Linked DNA regions of Macaca fascicularis. The protein of the gene in region 3 interacts with the protein of the main gene of each other region in a biochemical or structural test. Links are inferred from orthologs where the notes say so. Each region holds a gene or a part of one and is shown on either strand. Other genes may lie near its edges.

Region 1 (5,539 bases), on a different chromosome or scaffold from region 3:
GGGAGACTCCATCTCAAAAATAAAAATAATAATAAATAAATAAATAAATAAATAAATAAATACAGGCAAACTTATACTTGTTTCCTGGCTGTTATATCCTCTATGATCTCTCTGAGGATAAGATGCATACAGGTTTTGTTTTTTTCTGTTCTGTGTTTTTTTTTTTTTTTTTTGGAGACGGAGTCTCGCTCTGTCACCCAGGCTGGAGTGCAGTGGCCGGATCTCAGCTCACTGCAAGCTCCGCCTCCCGGGTTTACGCCATTCTCCCGCCTCAGCCTCCCAAGTAGCTGGGACTACAGGCGCCTGCTACCGCGCCCGACTAGTTTTTTGTATTTTTAGTAGAGACGGGGTTTCACCGTGTTAGCCACGGTGGTCTTGATCTCCTGACCTCGTGATCCGCCCGTCTCGGCCTCCCAAAGTGCTGGGATTACAGGCTTGAGCCACCGCGCCCGGCCTCTGTTCTGTGTTTTAATCAGGAACATAAGGATTTTTCTAGAACTGTTTTCTTCTACCCTCTTTGTCTCTCCTTCAAGTTACTTTTCTTTTCTCTTTGTGGATTTTGGTCTCTCTGTTGACTAACAATTATGACAGAGTGCTACAGAGCTCACGGAAGCCTCCTCACCACGGGGCGGCTTCACTGTGGGGTGGTTGGCGGGTTGGGGGTGGTCACTGGGCGGGAATCCCAAAACATTAGCAGCATCTGGAAGGCTTTTCTCATAGCCTGGCATCCAGCGTTCTAGAAGCCACAAGAGAGTACGCATCTGGGGTCACTATTTTATGTGTGACTTTAATGGCCTAGGTTTTTTGTTTGTTTTTGTGTTTGTGTTTGTTTTTTTGCAATGGCACGGTGTTGGTTCACTGCAATCTCTGCTTCCCAGGTTCAAGTGATTTTCCTGCGTCAGCCTCTCAAGTGGCTGGGATTACAGGCATGTGCCACCAAGCCCGGCTAAGGTTTTTTTTTTGGTGGAGATGGAATTTCACCATGTTGGTCAGGCTGGTCTTGAACTCCTGACCTCAGGTGATGCCCCTGCCTCAGCCTCCCAAAGTGCTGGGATTACAGGCGTGAGCCACCGTGCCCGGCCTGGTTTTTTTTAAAGACAGGGTCTCACTCTGTCGTGCAGGATGGAGTGCAGTGGCATGATCATAGCTCACTGCAGCCTCGACCTCCAGGGCTCAAGTGATCCTCCTGCCTCAGCCTCTCAAGCAGCTGGGACTACAGGCATGGATCGTCATATCTGGCTATTTTTTGTTTTTTTTTTTTTTAGAGATGGTGTCTTGCTGTGTTGCCCAGGCTGGTCTCAAACTCCTGGGCTCAAGTGATCCTCCTGCCTCAGTCTCCTGAAGTGCTGGGATTATAGGCATGAGCCACTGCACTTGGTCTTAATGGCCCATTTGCAGAGCCCCTCCCTCATCCCTGCCCTCCATGGAGCCTGGGTCCCTGTGCCTGAACCTTTCTGTGCAGCAAGCATTTTAAAATGCATTTTCTTACTGAATTCTCACAGCTCCCTGCACGGTTGGTGCTACCAGTTTGTCCCCAGTTTTATGGAAGCTTAAGACGGTAACATGAGCTGTCCCCACGCTCCAAAGCTGATAAGTTAAAGGACCACGCTGTGACTAAAGCCCGGAGCCCAGAGTCCCCCTCACTGCGTGAAGTGACGGCTTCTGGCTCAGCCTTGGCTTCCCCAAGGAAGGCGATGAGTGTTTGTTGATTGTCTACGGAATAAATGTCAACATCCTCAACGGGAGAAATGGAGAAACCACATGAATGGTGGCCCAGCACACATCACAGGCGTTCAACACACATACGGAATGAATGAGCAGCTGAAAGAACAGGAGTTGAGGCCGGGCGCGGCGGCTCATGCCTGTAATCTCAGCACTTTGGGAGGCTGAGGCAGGCAGATCACCTGGGGTCAGGAGTTCGAGACCAGCCTGGGCAACACAGTGAAACCCCGTCTCTACTAAAATACAAAAAAATTAGCTGGGCATGGTGGGAGACGCCTGTGTTCCCAGCTACTTGGGAGGCTGACACAGGAAAATCACTGGAACCCAGGAGGCGGAGGTTGCAGTGAGCCGAGATCATACCATTGCACTTGAGCCTGGGTGACAGAGCGAGACCTTGTCTCAAAGAAAAATAAAATGTGTCTTGTAAGGTCATGAGAAGAATTAAGTTAGATCGTAAGCACACAGTAAACAGGTGATGAATCAATGTCGTTATGATACCCAGTGAAGAAAAGCAGGAAGCAAGATGGTATAAATGATCCACCCATAAACAACCAGGCATTCAAGAATAGAAAGCGGGATGTCTGGGCGCGGTGGCTCAGGCCTGTAATCCCAGCATTTTGGGAGGCCGACGCGGGTGAATCACCTGAGGTCAGGAGTTTGAGACCAGCCTGACCAATGTGGTGAAACCCCATCTCTACTAAAAATGCAAAAATTAGCCGGGCGTGGTTGCACACGTCTGTAATCCCAGCTACTCGGGAGACTGAGTCCAGGAGACTCACCTGAACCCGGGAGGCAGAGGTTGTGGTGAGCCGAGATTGCACCATTGCACTCCAGCCTGGGCAACAGGAGCAAAACTCCGTCTCCAGGAAAAAAAAAAGAAAAGCAGAAGGGAAATGGAGTGTTCACAGTGGCTGATTGTTTTGTGATGGTTTTGTTTTCCTTCTTCCATTTTTCTGGATTGTCCAAGTTTTTCATAATGGGAAAAACCCAATTCACAGTAAAAACATTTATGTGGAAAAAATACATGTAACATTAAATTTGCCATCATCATTTTTTATTTTATTATTTTTATTTATTTTTTTGAGACGGAGTTTTGCTCTCTCATCCAGGCTGGAGTGCAGTGGCACAATCTCGGCTCACTGCAACCTTGGTCTCTGGGTTCAAGCGATTCTCCTGCCTCAGCCTCCCGAGTAGCTGGGATTATAGGCGTGCACCACCACACCCAGCTAATTTTTGTATTTTTAGTAGAGACGGGGTTTCAAACTCCTGACCTCAGGTGATCCGCCCGCCTCAGCCTCTCAAAGTGCTGCGATGACAGGCGTAAGCCATCGCACCTGGCTGATGCTACCTAATGCATTTCATGTGCAAGACTTGGGAGGGACCATTTTCCACCCAGGGTGGCTTCTCCACCTTAATTAAGACCTTAAGTGGGTCTTAATCCGATCACCCGAAACATCTTCTCTGTCCCAGAAGCTAACCCAGGGAGGCATCCCGGGACAAGACCAATCTTTTCCCAAACGCCCCCTGAGCCTGGCCAGGGAGATGCTGCCTGCAAGACTGATTGTGACTGGGCCGGCGGACTCAGGGCATCTTAGCGGCCGCCTCTCCGTCCTGTCCTGTCCCTGACCTTGCAGATGCAGGTGACAGCCTGCCCTTCCGTTTTTGTCTTTCCAGCCCCGCCTGCCGGATTGGGTTCCAGCCCTGCCCACACGCCGGGTATCATCCCGCCCACACTCACCGATGTCGCCTAGCAACCCGGCTCGCCGCCAGCATCCGCAGCCCAGGTCCCCGCGCTCCAGTGCTCTGGCGGGGAGGGAGGGAGGGGTTGCCTCTCCAGCCCCCTGCAGCCCGGTGTCTTCCCGCCACCCGCCGGCCTGCTCCGGGGACCGCGGCCCAGTGGGACGAGGGCTGGGCAGGACGGGTCAGGAGCGACTGCTTTTCAGGCCCGTGGGCTCCGTAGCCCAGACGGTCCCTCCATCTGCACCCAATCCTTTTGCTAACCAACTGCTTGATTTTGCTGTCGCGCCGCCTAAACTTGGTTTTTTGGAGTTGCTAGGAGGGCCGACTTAACTCTTTGTCAGCGGGGCTGGTTTTCAACCACCTGGTGGTGGGAATCCTGTTTGGCTTCCCGGGGAGCCGGGGATGGGAACGGGAACCGTGGGTGGGAGGCTTCCGAGAGCCGCCTCTCCCAGAGCGTAAGGGAGGAAGCAGGCTGCCGGTAAGGCCTGGGGTTCACAGCAGGGGACGAGGTGCCTCCCACCAGGGGCTACTGTGACCGCCAGGCCTGCCAGGGCGTGCCCCTTCCCCTGTCCCTTCCCTCTGTCCCCGCAGCCTTAGCTGTAGTCTCTCTCCGGTAATGAGATGGAGACAAATTTGAGACAGAGTCTCACTGTGTTGCCCAGGCTGGAGTGCAGCGGTGCGATCTCAGCTCACCACAACTTCTGCCTCCCGGGTTCAAGCGATTCTCCTGCCTCAGCTTCCAAGTAACTGGAATTACAGGCGCCCACCACCATGCCCAGCTAATTTTTGATATTTTTAGTAGAGACAGGGTTTCACCATGTTGGCCAGGCTGGTCTCAAACTCCTGACCTCAAGTGATCCTCCTGCCTCGGCCTCCCAAAGTGCTGGGATTACAGGCACAAGCCACTGCTCCTGGCCGACAAATGGTGTTCTGTTAACCACCAGAAAGAGACACGTCTTTTGGTGTCAGAGCGTGGCTCTAAGCACTGAGGTTGACTCAGTTGCTAGTGTCCACCTGGCCTGCCCGAGATCTGGGAATACAATGACGATCCAAGATCTGGGAATACAATGACGATCCAATTGGTGGTAACAGGCTTCCTGACAGGCAGAGAATTCACATTCTAAAGGGGAAGACACATACCAAATCGTTTCAAAGATGCATGGTTTAAACTCAAGGAACAGGCCAGGCGCGGTGGCTCACGCCTGTAATCCCAGCACTTTGGGAGGCTGAGGCAGGCAGATCACCTGAGGTCAGGAGTTTGAGACCAGTCTGGCCAACATAGTGAAACCCTGTCTCTACTAAAAATACAAAAAATTAGCTGGGCGTGGTGATGCAGGCCTGTAGTCCCAGCTACTCGGGAGGCTGAGGTGGGAGGATTGCTGGAACTCAGGAGGCGGAGGTTGCAGTGAGCTAAGATCGAGCTGCTGCACTACAGCCTGGGTGACAGAGTGAGACCCTGTCTCAAAAAAAAAAAAAAAAAAAAAAAAAGTGGAACTGGAATTGACAAGATATCCTCCTCATGGATTGGCCGGGAGCACAGAGGAATCTGGGAGGGCTCCCTGGTGGTGGTGGCCATCATCTTGGGCCCTGAGTAAATGGCCATGCTGCTGCCGCGATGCTGATGAAGAGAGGGGCTGTGTGTGGACGGAGTGTGTAGGAAGGGAGGTGAAGTTCCCAAGAAATTTGGCATAGAGTGGAAAGCAGGAGAGAGGGTGTGAGGTGGAAGAGGCCAGTGGCCTAGAGGCAGCCTGCCCTCCGGGGAGGCTAAACCAGCAATTCCTGTTGCTGATAGATAATCCCTACTAGAAGGGGACCCCTTGGTGGCTCCCCACCCCCTTCCTTTGGTCTAGGCATGAAACAGCAGTCCCTCCACACCCAGCCCCTGCCACTCCTGTCCCGCCGCCCCCACCCTGCATCTGCCTCCTCCCCACTCTGCTCCCCACCTGCCCGGACAAACACTGCCAGGGAAGTCCTGTGGGCCGGAAGCTGTCAGGAAACTCTTCCACTGTGACCAGGCCTTAGCATCTGAACACCCTCCGCCTGCCTTCTGAGGGTTTGGGAACGTGGCGGGGCAAGT
Region 2 (5,439 bases), on a different chromosome or scaffold from region 3:
TAATCCTTTGACAATGAGGGAATGCACAGAAGAAATGAGGAATTAGAAAGAGAAGAGAATATTCGCATGCCACTGTGGTAAATGCACTCAGGATTCCATGACAGTAACAAAAATAACAGCCAATTAGCAGAAGCAAAAGTGAGGGACAGCATGAATCAATACTGATTAAGTTAAGGCAGCTGTGGGTCTTCCTGCAACAGTATCTGCAGCAAGGGAGCAGAGAAAGTAGACAGGACAGGAGATAATGATCACTAGTAACTTCTAGCCACATCTTACTCTCCTTTCTTCCACAATCCTTCCGCAGACCCATACAATCACAGCATGTGTCTGCCATGCGTTTATGCTCAGTGTATCCTGGGCTCTGAACTATTATAATGCATAATTATTACTAGTCATGTGGAAAGTGGCAATTGACCTTGAAAATCTTACTCTCCTGACTGTAAGATATTTGGATGTTTTCTCTTTTTCCTTAAAATGGCAGGGAAACATTCTGGTTTTCTCTTGTTTCAGCATCTAACACATGGGACACCGTCATGTTATGGTGGTCACACCTAAATAAAATTGATTCCATATGTCTTTATTCTATTAGTAATACTTAATTTTAGTCCTAATTTGCTATATTCCCCTTGTCTAATTAATTTTCTGGCCTCAAAAACAGTCCAAGTAAACATGCAACTGTTAATTTTTTTGTGCATCTCCCATACAAGATGAATCCACTAGTCAGGACAAACACTGCTTACCTTTCAAAACTGGAGAATACACAATGAATTAGATATGCACATTTCAATTATGTAACAACTTCAGCCAACATGCTGACATCTGCTTGATAGACCACTTACTAATGAAGTTTGTTTATAAATTCTGGCATCTCATATGCTGTATAGTTCTAGCTAAATACTTCAGTTTGAATTAAAATGTTTACAATCTACCCATCTGACAAAGGGCTAATATCCAGAATCTACAAAGAATTTAAACAAATTTACAAGAAAAAAATCAAACAACCCCATCAAAAAGTGGGCAAAGGATATGAACAGACACTTCTCAAAAGAAAATATTTATGCAACCAACAGACACATGAAAAAATGCTCATCATCACTGGCCATCAGAGAAATGCAAATCAAAACCACAATGAGATACCATCTCATACCAGTTAGAACGGTGATCATTAAAAGTCAGGAAACAACAGGTGCTGGAGAGGATGTGGAGAAATAGGAACACTTTCACACTATTGGTGGGACTGTAAACTAGTCCAACCATTGTGGGAGACAGTGTGGCAATTTCTCAAGGATCTAGAACTAGAAATACCATTTGACCCAGCCATTCCATTTCTGGGTATATACCCAAAGGATTATAAATCATGCTGCTATAAAGACACATGCACACATATGTTTACTGTGGCACTATTAACAATAGCAAAGACTTGGAACCAACCCAAAGGTCCATCAATAATACACTGGTTAAAGAAAATGTGGCACATATACACCATGGAATACTATGCAGCTGTAAAAAAGGATGAGTTCATGTCCTTTATAGCAACATGGATGAAGCTGGAAACCATCATTCTGAGCAAACTATCTCAAGGACAGAAAACCAAACATTGTATGTTCTTACTCATAGGTGGGAATTGAACAATGAGAACACCTGGACACAGGGCGGGGAACATCACACCCTGGGGCCTGTCATGGCGTGGTGGGGAGGGGGGCGGGATAGCATTAGGAGATATACCTAATGTAAATGACAAGTTAATAGGTGAAGCACACCAACATGGCACATGTATACATATGTAACAAACCTGCACTTTGTGCACATGTACCCTAGAACTTAAAGAATAAAAGAAAAAAAGAAAAAAAAAGGAAAGAAAAAAAACTTACCAATATACGAAAGTAACAGTGTTGATACAAGCCACAATTACACTTCTTGAAACTCTCTCTCTTTCTCTTGCAACATACTGAAAAACAATAAAAAATAAAAAATTAAAAAAAATAAAAAAAGTCATGCTTATTTGCTCTTAGTCAGAGATTCTGAGGTACACCATGACCTGGGCATTGTAAAAGGCAGCTTTTCTGTAAATACAGTAGTAGAAGATTGCAAAATTTAATGGGGAGCTTACCTTCTTATTACTATAGGGAAGAGGGAAGACTTCATTTGTCTTAAGGTAGTCTTTCAAAGTAGTTAAAACATTTCTTTCTCTGTATATGCATATACACACACCAAACATGCCTATATGCATTTCATATGTGTCTGTGTATACAATAGGCATGACATGAGAGAATGCAACACACCAAATGAAAATTATAATCAAAGGTAAGGGAACATATGAGCACTGGGCAGTATAGGGTAAGGTGAAAGAGTAACAAGAGCCAGCTACAGAGAACGGAAAGTCATCTTACAGCAAATTTTGCATTTGGCTTTACAGAAAACAACGAGCATGCTGAGAAAAGTTAAGGGCTCTGAAAGCCAGAGTAAAATAAAAGATATATTAAATATACAAGAGAAAATCACGAACATATTTCGAATAAGAAGTCACACTATGAACCAGTGTTTACAGAAGAGTGTGACTAAAGGTTGAGTTTAGAAGGGCAAAAGAAAAGATCAGTGGCAGCAACTCATGAGATCATAAAGATGTCAGTGATGATAATGCTTCCTACCAAAAGAACTAAGCTTAGGAAAAGGCTCTGAGAGCTGAATCAGTATGTTTTGATAAAAGTGTGGAAAAGAAAGAACATGAGCAAATATGCCTCCAGAGTTCCACAACTAGGAGTCTGAGAAGATTCTGCTGCCTTACTTAAATAAGAAAGCAGAGGTAACCCCTTTATAAACCCTAAGAAGGGTCATGAAAACAATTATGTGAAGGTATTCTACAGGTAAATCGAGATGCAGCATTGAAGAGAGAGTGAGACATCAGAAAGATGGATAAAGAGTTGGGACTCACTGGTTAGGAGCTACTGTCATGAATTAAGGACTTCTTAAAGACATTCTGGGCATGTACACAGCGTGTGAAATGGCAATGCCATGCTTGATTAGGCACACATTTAGCAAAACAAAATACCTTATCTCATTATCGTCTTCATTAATTTGTATATTTTCAACTGCCCTTGTAAGACTTGGCTGTCTCTTCTGGAAAAAGAAGAAACACACATGCTGTAAAACGATCAATGAATGGTCTAATATTTAAGAGGTAAGTGCACTCCACTTTTATCTTTTATGTCAATAACTCCAATAACAGTTTTTTTCAGCATGTAGCATGCAAAATGTTTTTGTAATAAAAAATTATGAAAGTTGCACGGTACCATCAACTCAACATTTTTAGGATGTTGGGGGAGAAAGAGTAAGAAAGAAGTTGACATTTAATCAAATTCAAAAGACATTTCAAGAAGCTGAATCACAATGATTTTTGCACATTTTTAAATTTTAGACAGGCTTCAATAAGAAGAGAACAAAAGAGTAGAAATCCAAAAATAGCAGATAATACAAATGACATTTCTATTTATCTTTTAAGTATATCATATGATTTTTGGCAGATCTTCCTTTTCATATTTAGTTCAGGTTATTAACGCTAGTTCCTAATTCTTTTTTTTTTTTTTTTTTTTTTGAGACGGAGTTTTGCTCTGTCTCCCAGGCTGGAGTGCAGTGGCGCGATCTCCACTCACTGCAAGCTCCGCCTCCCGGGTTCACGCCATTCTCCTGCCTCAGCCTCCTGTGTGGCTGGGACTACAGGCGCCCGCCACCGCGCCCGGCTAATTTTTGTATTTTTAGTAGAGACGGGGTTTCACCATGTTAGTCAGGATGGTCTCGATCTCCTGACCTCGTGATCCGCCCATCTCGGCCTCCCAAAGTGCTGGGATTACAGGCGTGAGCCACCGCGCCCGGCAAGTTCCTAATTCTTAAGTGTGAATAATCAGCTACAGGGATTGTCTCCAGATGTAATGAGAAATGGGAAACTTTCTAAAATTTAAATTTTGTTTAGATTATAAACTAAGGTAGAATTCACTGTTTTCGTAATGGATCATTTCTTGAGGAAAAAAGATTAATAATTTATGTAAACATAGCATATTAAAAAAAGGAATGGCAACACTTACCTTCCAGTATAAGGCTCCAAAAGCAAAGCCAATTATAAGAGAAAAGAATGCTGGCAATGCCATGGCTGCCCAGTGTAGGCTGGAGTCTCCAGTGGGATTTTTGGCCTTCCCTATAATTTAAAGAACACAGTGATGAATACAGCATATTCATCCTAGAAGTTTTGCTCTTATGCTGTGGTTGTTTTTAACTGTTTCTGTAACACATTCTGGACCTATATCTGTTTAAAGTATTCAAAAGATTGATTTTTCCGCTGAATATTGCTTTTGCAAGGCAATATAAGTCCAGGTAGTCTCCAAAAGATGAATGCATTAAAAAGGAAAGAAATCACAGAGACAGAAAGAAATCTGGCTTGGGTAATTCTGCCACATATGGAACACAGACTTAATATATTTCTGGGGGGGAAATGACTTACACTATCAAACAAATCTATCTCTCATGCCTTTATCTTGGTATTTGGCTACGTTGGGTCAGCCGGATGTCCCAGAATCAAGGTAGCCAAACACCACGTTCTTCCTGTTCTATACAAAGACCAAACCCAAGTCTTGAAATTCACCACTCAGGCCAAAGGAAAGACCAGACTCAAAAGCAAAAAGCAGCTTACTAAAGAGGGAGATATTCTGGAATTTGCTACCTAAAACCTTTCTCAGGCAGAAGGATAGCATCTAAGGAGGGGGCTTCAAACAAAGCTGTGTGGGAGACCTCACTAAGGAAAGCAGACCTGCTCTCTGAGGGTGCGGTGACTACCATGTTGACAGTTCCTTCCCTAAGACTATGAGCCAAGATGCAATCCTGGAATCTGACTAAGACACAGCAGCAATCTTCCTGCAGGAGAGAGGGAGGGAGAAAAACAGCAAAGACTAGGTGGTGGGGCGGCAGTGCGGGGGAGGGTTGGGGGAAGTGCCCATAGATTACTTAGCTTCACATCCTATAGAGGTCAATGTTATCTCACTTTTTTTATTTCACTTGTTCATGCGTGGGGCTTAAGAACCAGGTCTTTGGTCCATCAGGGATACTACTGTCCCTCTTGCAGGCAGACAAAAAGAATTTTATCAGAAGAGATTTGCTTAGACCTCCAGCGAATGACTTTCAATACTTTCCACTGCAGCTATCCAGTAGGAATCAATGAGATTTGAATTGTATGCCTCAAGGCCCAAATGAAGGCTATTTGGGGACAAAGCTTAAGCTGACAACAAAGTTTTGATTTTATGCAAAGATAGCCTGCAGAGAATTTGTGTGGAGAGGAAGCTCATCTGGGCAGGATTTGAGTGATCCCAAATTCCTGGGTTATTACCATATTAATTATATCTCCTTATTACCAAAACTATCCACTGTCCAGAAATCTTGGGAACTGACTTGTTT
Region 3 (5,539 bases):
TGCACAATACTTGGCACATTTCTGACGAGAATTTCTTTTGGGAGAAAAAATGGCTTTGGATGGTATATTGTCGTTATTTCTCACCATGCTGTCCAGGGTAAATAGCCAATGGCATCAGCCATTATTGGGGGTGTTCTCTTTTACACCTATGCACAAGACCATTTTTATGTTTTGGAGTGGGAGATGAATTTTTAACTGGCTTGCATCATCATTTTAGAAATAGCTTACCTTCATTTCTGAGGGACGCTAACTAGAATGAGACAGCTAACAACTAAGGCCAGCATACCACAGGGTCAAATGCCTACAACCCTTCCTCCAAGCTAAAATTTAATTAATCCTCCCTCCACAAATACTCCCCTTTCATAAGACACCCAATTCTAAATATTTTTCACCAAAATTGGGAAGGCAGTGACATTGGCCATTCTGCATTCCCAGAACTTCCAACAATCCCTGGCACATAGTAAAAACTCATTAAATATTTTTGAATGAGTCTTACTACAGATTCCGGTGAATCATGTGAATGGTTATAGAGCTGGGCACATAGAGCCAATCTCATCAGGCTTCACCACTGATGACTTGGCGCTTATCCTTAGCCAGTTTCTCCAGCTGTAAAATGTTAGGGGTAATAATAATACTACTTCCTAGGCTCATTGAGACTAGCGGAAATAGCAGGTAAAGCCCCAAGCAACAGGCCTGGCACACAGTTTCCAACTGAAGAGCAACAACTATGTATAACACACATGTCATACAAAATTTAAGGCCCATTAGAAAGCATGTTATAAATGCACAGCATACATGATTTAGAGAGTCATGAGGAAAAAATATGGGGATGAGTGGGGGAAAAAACAGAATAGGGATAAATGAATTATCTGGGATATTTATTTGGGATATTTCCAGCAGGAAAATAATTTAGACTGCCTTGCGTCCAGCTGCTGAGAATGACTCCAGCCTCACACCTGCAGGAATGAAGCGGGGAAGGTATGATTCACCATTCCTTGCAGCTTCATCCTGTTAGGCACAGGAGCTGTAATAATGGGGTGGTGGTGGGGGAGAAGAATGACGGTTAGGACAAAGTGGGCACCTCCTAGCCCTCAAAGGGCAATACAGAGAAATATATGGGAATTGAGGGGTGGGAAGCATAAGCCACAGCTCCTTGCTGCAGCCAGGGGCAGACGGTCAGATGCACCCATACTCCATGAGGTCCCCGTGAGCAGGAGAGGCAGAGGAATTTCAAGGTGGCAGACAGGGACCAGGGGAATAGTTGAAAAGAGTGCTGAGTCTACACTCAGCACATTGGAAAATTCTGGACCCAAAGGATCCTTCATGATGCAGATGCCTCCTTGTACTCTGGAGGACACTGGGTTCCCCAGAATTTAAGCAACCTGCCTTAAGCAACCTGCCCAAGGGCACGCAGCCAAGAAATGGCAGAGAAAAGGAGAACCCAGGGGACAGATCAAGGCTTTGTCGTTACACCACACTGCCCCCCCAGGAGACAGACTTAAAATTCCCTTTGCCAAAAATCTTTTGGGAAGAAGAAAACCATTGATTCTTTTAATTTTGTAAAAGGGAGATATTCGATGTGGTCTTTCTAGTCTCCTACTGGGGTCTAGTTCACATACCTTAACTGATATTAAAAAGGTCAAGGCACAAAAACATAAAGACCAGATGTGTTGTTTTAAGCTAGGTGATCAAATCCTCCAGGGAATCTGAACACTCCCTCGTGACCCCTGCTGACCCCTCCTGCTGCACAGGGGTCCAGATGCAAGGCCTCTCTGCCCCCACAGGAAAGCCCTCACAATAGTTACAAGACCAGGACGCGGGAGACTGCGCCTGGAGACTTTATAGAGAAACTGACCAGTAGTAGACAGTCTCACAACCGTTCATTGCGCCGCTTCCTTTCAAGCGCTTGATTCCAGCTAAGACTCACTTTCTATCCTTACACCATCAAGGTAACCTTAAAGGTTTGTTTTAAAAATGACCTGGGAGAGAGCAGTGCTTCAGGAGTGAGCTGGGCGACCTGCACTCGCGCGCACCAGCGACACCTGGAAAAAAGGGAACGAGAGGCAGAAATCTGACCGAGGGGCTCCAGCAGCCGGCAAATCCTTCACCTAAGACCCAAGTTCCCGCGCGGATATATCTGGTTTTTTGTTATAGCTTTAAGAACTGAGTAGGATTTGCAGAAAGTTCCACTCCATCTCCCACCCCACCCCCAGGCAGCCCTGAAGTATAGATGTCCCCTCCCCGGGGACAGGGAGGCGGGCGGTCACTAATCTCAAAAATTTCCGAAGAAAACAGGACCTGCGAATACAGGTCGCAGATACCGGGACTACGGGCTTCCAGAGCCCGCCAGGCAGGCCGGGCACACTGGCCGGCGTGCTAGGCAGCCGGGATCAGGGCACGCATAGTCCCAGCACGCTGTCCCTTGCCTTCCCGGAGCAGGCGGCAAACGCAGCCTCCAGCCGCCCCGGGGCGCGTGGCAGGAATGAAACGGCGCCGCGGCCGAAAGGGACGAGCACAGGATATACGAAAGCAAAAAGTCTGCAACCTAGCGGCTGCTTTCCACACGCCCTGCCCAAGTTGTCCCCGTACACACCACCTCCAGGCTCGCGGGAGTCCGGCCCCACAGCCACACGCCGCGCACTCCCAGAGCAAAACCCTAACCCGGAGGCGGGGAAATCCGCAGGCTTCGATTCGTCTCCACGGGTGGCGCCGTGAGCAGAGGCGGCAGCGGGTCGGTCCCCAGCTCTGGGCACAAAGAGCGCCTGCGGTTGGAAGGCAGCAGCCGCAGAGGAGAGAAAGGGCTCTCTAACTTTGCCCTCCGCGCGGCGGAGAACCTGCAGGCAGGTCCTCCTGGGCACCGGTCACACACACGCAACTTTTAACAAAAGGAAGCTGCGGCCGCGCCTCGCACAGCGAGAGAAGGCGCTCGGTGGGAACCCCTGAGCCCCTCGCCTCCGCCCCCCGCGCAACCTCGGCACAAAAGCCACCCCAAACTCGCACGCAGCCTGCAACCTCGCTCACGCCTAACCTCCCCTCGCTGTCCCCATTCCCGAGGAACCCCGGCTTCGCGTCCCCACCACTAGCAGCTGGGGTCTCCTCGCGCAGGTGAGCGAGGCAAGGCGCAGGAGAGTCCGAGGGACACCTGGAGTCTCCCCCGGAGACTGGAACGCACAGGCACTGAGGGCCCGCAGTCCTCTCTCCGGATGCACTCCGGCGTGTACCACCCTCCCGGGCACAGGCTTCGCCGAGGAGTCGCACGGTCGGGGTGCCAGCCGCGGTGACCCACCTGTCTGGACGTGGAGCAGGAAGAGCAGAACGCAGAGAAAATCCCAGGCGCCGCGAGCGCCTCTCATCGCGGTGGCTGCGCTGGGATCCGAGCTCTGGTCCACGTTCCAGCTCTCGCCCAAGTGCAGCGAGCGCGGCAAAGCCGAGCCCCCAGAGCCGTGAGCGCCGAGCAGCAGCCCCTCCTCCCAGCGCCCTCCCTCTGCGCGCCGGCCACGCCCCTCCTCGCCTCCCCTCCCTCGCGCCCGCCCGGGTCTCGCTCCTTCCCGGCGGCGTCTGGCCCCTGCTCTTTCGACGTGTTAATGCCGGGGGGCTGTGCCCGCGGGGAGGAGGAGGGCGCGCGCGCGCCCTAGCTCCCAGCTCTTGACCCCGGAGCCCCTTTCTCTCTCCACCTCTCCACCCCTGGGATGTGGTCGGCCCGCCCGAGGCCGTTCCCGGACCAAAGAGGTGCTGCCCGCTCGCTTTGTGAAGCTGGGCACCACGCGCACGTTAGGGCACGGGCCCGCCACCTGCCAGGTGCTCCCCAGACAATAAAGGACGGCTGCCCGTCCCTCGAGCACGTTCGGGCGGGAGGAGGCTGGACGCCGCTGCTGGTGGAGGTGACACGGGGATGGGGAGGGGAGCGTTAGGAAATTGAGCCCCGACATTACCCTCCAGGCCTGTTAGGAGCGCGTGGCACCGCGGTAAAGGCTGAGCCCGGCTTAGCTAATTGTTTCTGCTCAGTTTCTCCACCTGCTTCGTAACCTGTAAGAATACAGTGGGTTCCTATTGGTCGGCGTGGCCTCCGCCCAAGAAGCCCCTGCCGGGACTTGTGTGGAGATTGGGGCGGTGAAGTGGGGAGGGGCGCGTTGCAAAGTTTGCTCTGGGAGCCCAGGTTTTCATACACATTTCCCCCTCTCCCCCCAACGCTGCCAACCCCAGTAATGATTTATCTGCCTCTGTATCAGACGACAGTTTTAGGGCTAGGGATCCCTGTGTCCCTCTTAACTGCCCTTGCCGGTCCCAGGAGCAGAATAAAAGTACAATGATTCTCTTAAGCCAGATTTCACTGCCCGGAAAGTGCTTTATCCACAGTCTCATGGTGGATCCTTGAACGGAAAGCAACACGGTATCTGTATAGGGGTTAATAGTTCTTCCCCACACCGACTCTTCTTTTCATGCTCACCATAACAGCTTTGTGAGGAGGGTAGAGCAGGTATGTTTATTATTGTAGTGAGGGAAGACCCAGGGCTTGAACCCTTATTTGAAGACCTACTCCAAGAAAGATGAGCTTTCCCTATGGATTCTGATAAACTAAAAAGACATCCCTCCTGAGAGCTTAAGAATGGAAAATAAGTGGCAGATGCCCATGAGAAAAAGGGATAGAACAGATACACCTAGACTCTTCTCTGAAGTATCATCCAAAATTTATAGTTGCCCAGCTGCCCCACTCCATTTAATGTTGAAAGCTCTCCTGTTGTTTAATAGTGTGAGGACCCAGGTTGACGTAAGAAAAATGATTTTTAAAGTTAATCACTTAAAAATTATCAGTACTAGAGGATGATCAAATGATCAATGTGTATAATTGCCTCTCTTTAAATGTAAGTATTTATTCACTCAGCAAGCATTTATTTAGTGTCTGCTGTGGAGCAACGAGGAGCTAGGTACCAGGAGTACTATTATTAATAGACAGATAAGCAGATGTGGCCCCTGCCCTCACAGTCCTTATAATCAAGTATGGGGACCTACATCCCAGTCTCCCAGCAAAAGGTTCGAGTCATGTGGCTGTAGGAGAACTGAAATACAAAAGGTCTCTGTGCTCTGGGCCATCAGATCTCATGTTTTTCTTAGGATGACAGATGAAAGATACCACTCAAAGCAATCATAAGTTTCTGGGATCTTGATTTATTTCTAAAATCCATTTTGAATTGAGAAAAAATCACTATGAGTTAAAATATCAACATTATGCCTGAGAGAGAAAATTTACAATTTTCTTCTTCAATCAGCTGATATTGGAGAGGATAACATCTTCAAAAGAGTGGGTGAAAAGAGACCATATTGCAATTTAATTCTAGGCAAGAAACTTCTATCAGGAAAAAAAAAAAAAACAAAAAGAAAACCTCAATAGGGAGTTATAAAATGTTGGACTGTCATTCCAGTTTTTCATTCAGCAAATATCTTTTGAGCATCTAGGTAGGCATAAGACCTACATAAATGAGTAAGACAAAGTCTCTGCCTAGGGGAATTCACAGTCCAGCAGGGAAAATAGGTACTCAAA

Evidence for each region.
Region 1: the proteins of KIT (region 3) and MATK form a complex in vitro, tested with the Homo sapiens proteins (2 studies listed by BioGRID). The link is inferred for Macaca fascicularis from reciprocal best matches to the Homo sapiens genes KIT and MATK.
Region 2: the proteins of KIT (region 3) and KITLG form a complex in vitro, tested with the Homo sapiens proteins (3 studies listed by BioGRID and IntAct, with this or other methods). The link is inferred for Macaca fascicularis from reciprocal best matches to the Homo sapiens genes KIT and KITLG.

Annotation. Positions count from the first base shown.
Region 1 is NC_088393.1:4,522,364-4,527,902, forward strand, and holds the start of MATK (megakaryocyte-associated tyrosine-protein kinase), read right to left. Parts: upstream 3,729-5,539; 5' UTR 3,461-3,728; intron 1-3,460.
Region 2 is NC_088385.1:95,440,314-95,445,752, forward strand, and holds part of KITLG (kit ligand), read right to left. Parts: intron 4,190-5,439; coding exon 4,080-4,189; intron 3,118-4,079; coding exon 3,050-3,117; intron 1,949-3,049; coding exon 1,909-1,948; 3' UTR 1,872-1,908; intron 1-1,871. UniProt on the Homo sapiens protein: Ligand for the receptor-type protein-tyrosine kinase KIT. Plays an essential role in the regulation of cell survival and proliferation, hematopoiesis, stem cell maintenance, gametogenesis, mast cell development, migration and function, and in melanogenesis.
Region 3 is NC_088379.1:79,243,815-79,249,353, forward strand, and holds the start of KIT (mast/stem cell growth factor receptor Kit), read right to left. Parts: upstream 3,412-5,539; 5' UTR 3,354-3,411; coding exon 3,287-3,353; intron 1-3,286. UniProt on the Homo sapiens protein: Tyrosine-protein kinase that acts as a cell-surface receptor for the cytokine KITLG/SCF and plays an essential role in the regulation of cell survival and proliferation, hematopoiesis, stem cell maintenance, gametogenesis, mast cell development, migration and function, and in melanogenesis.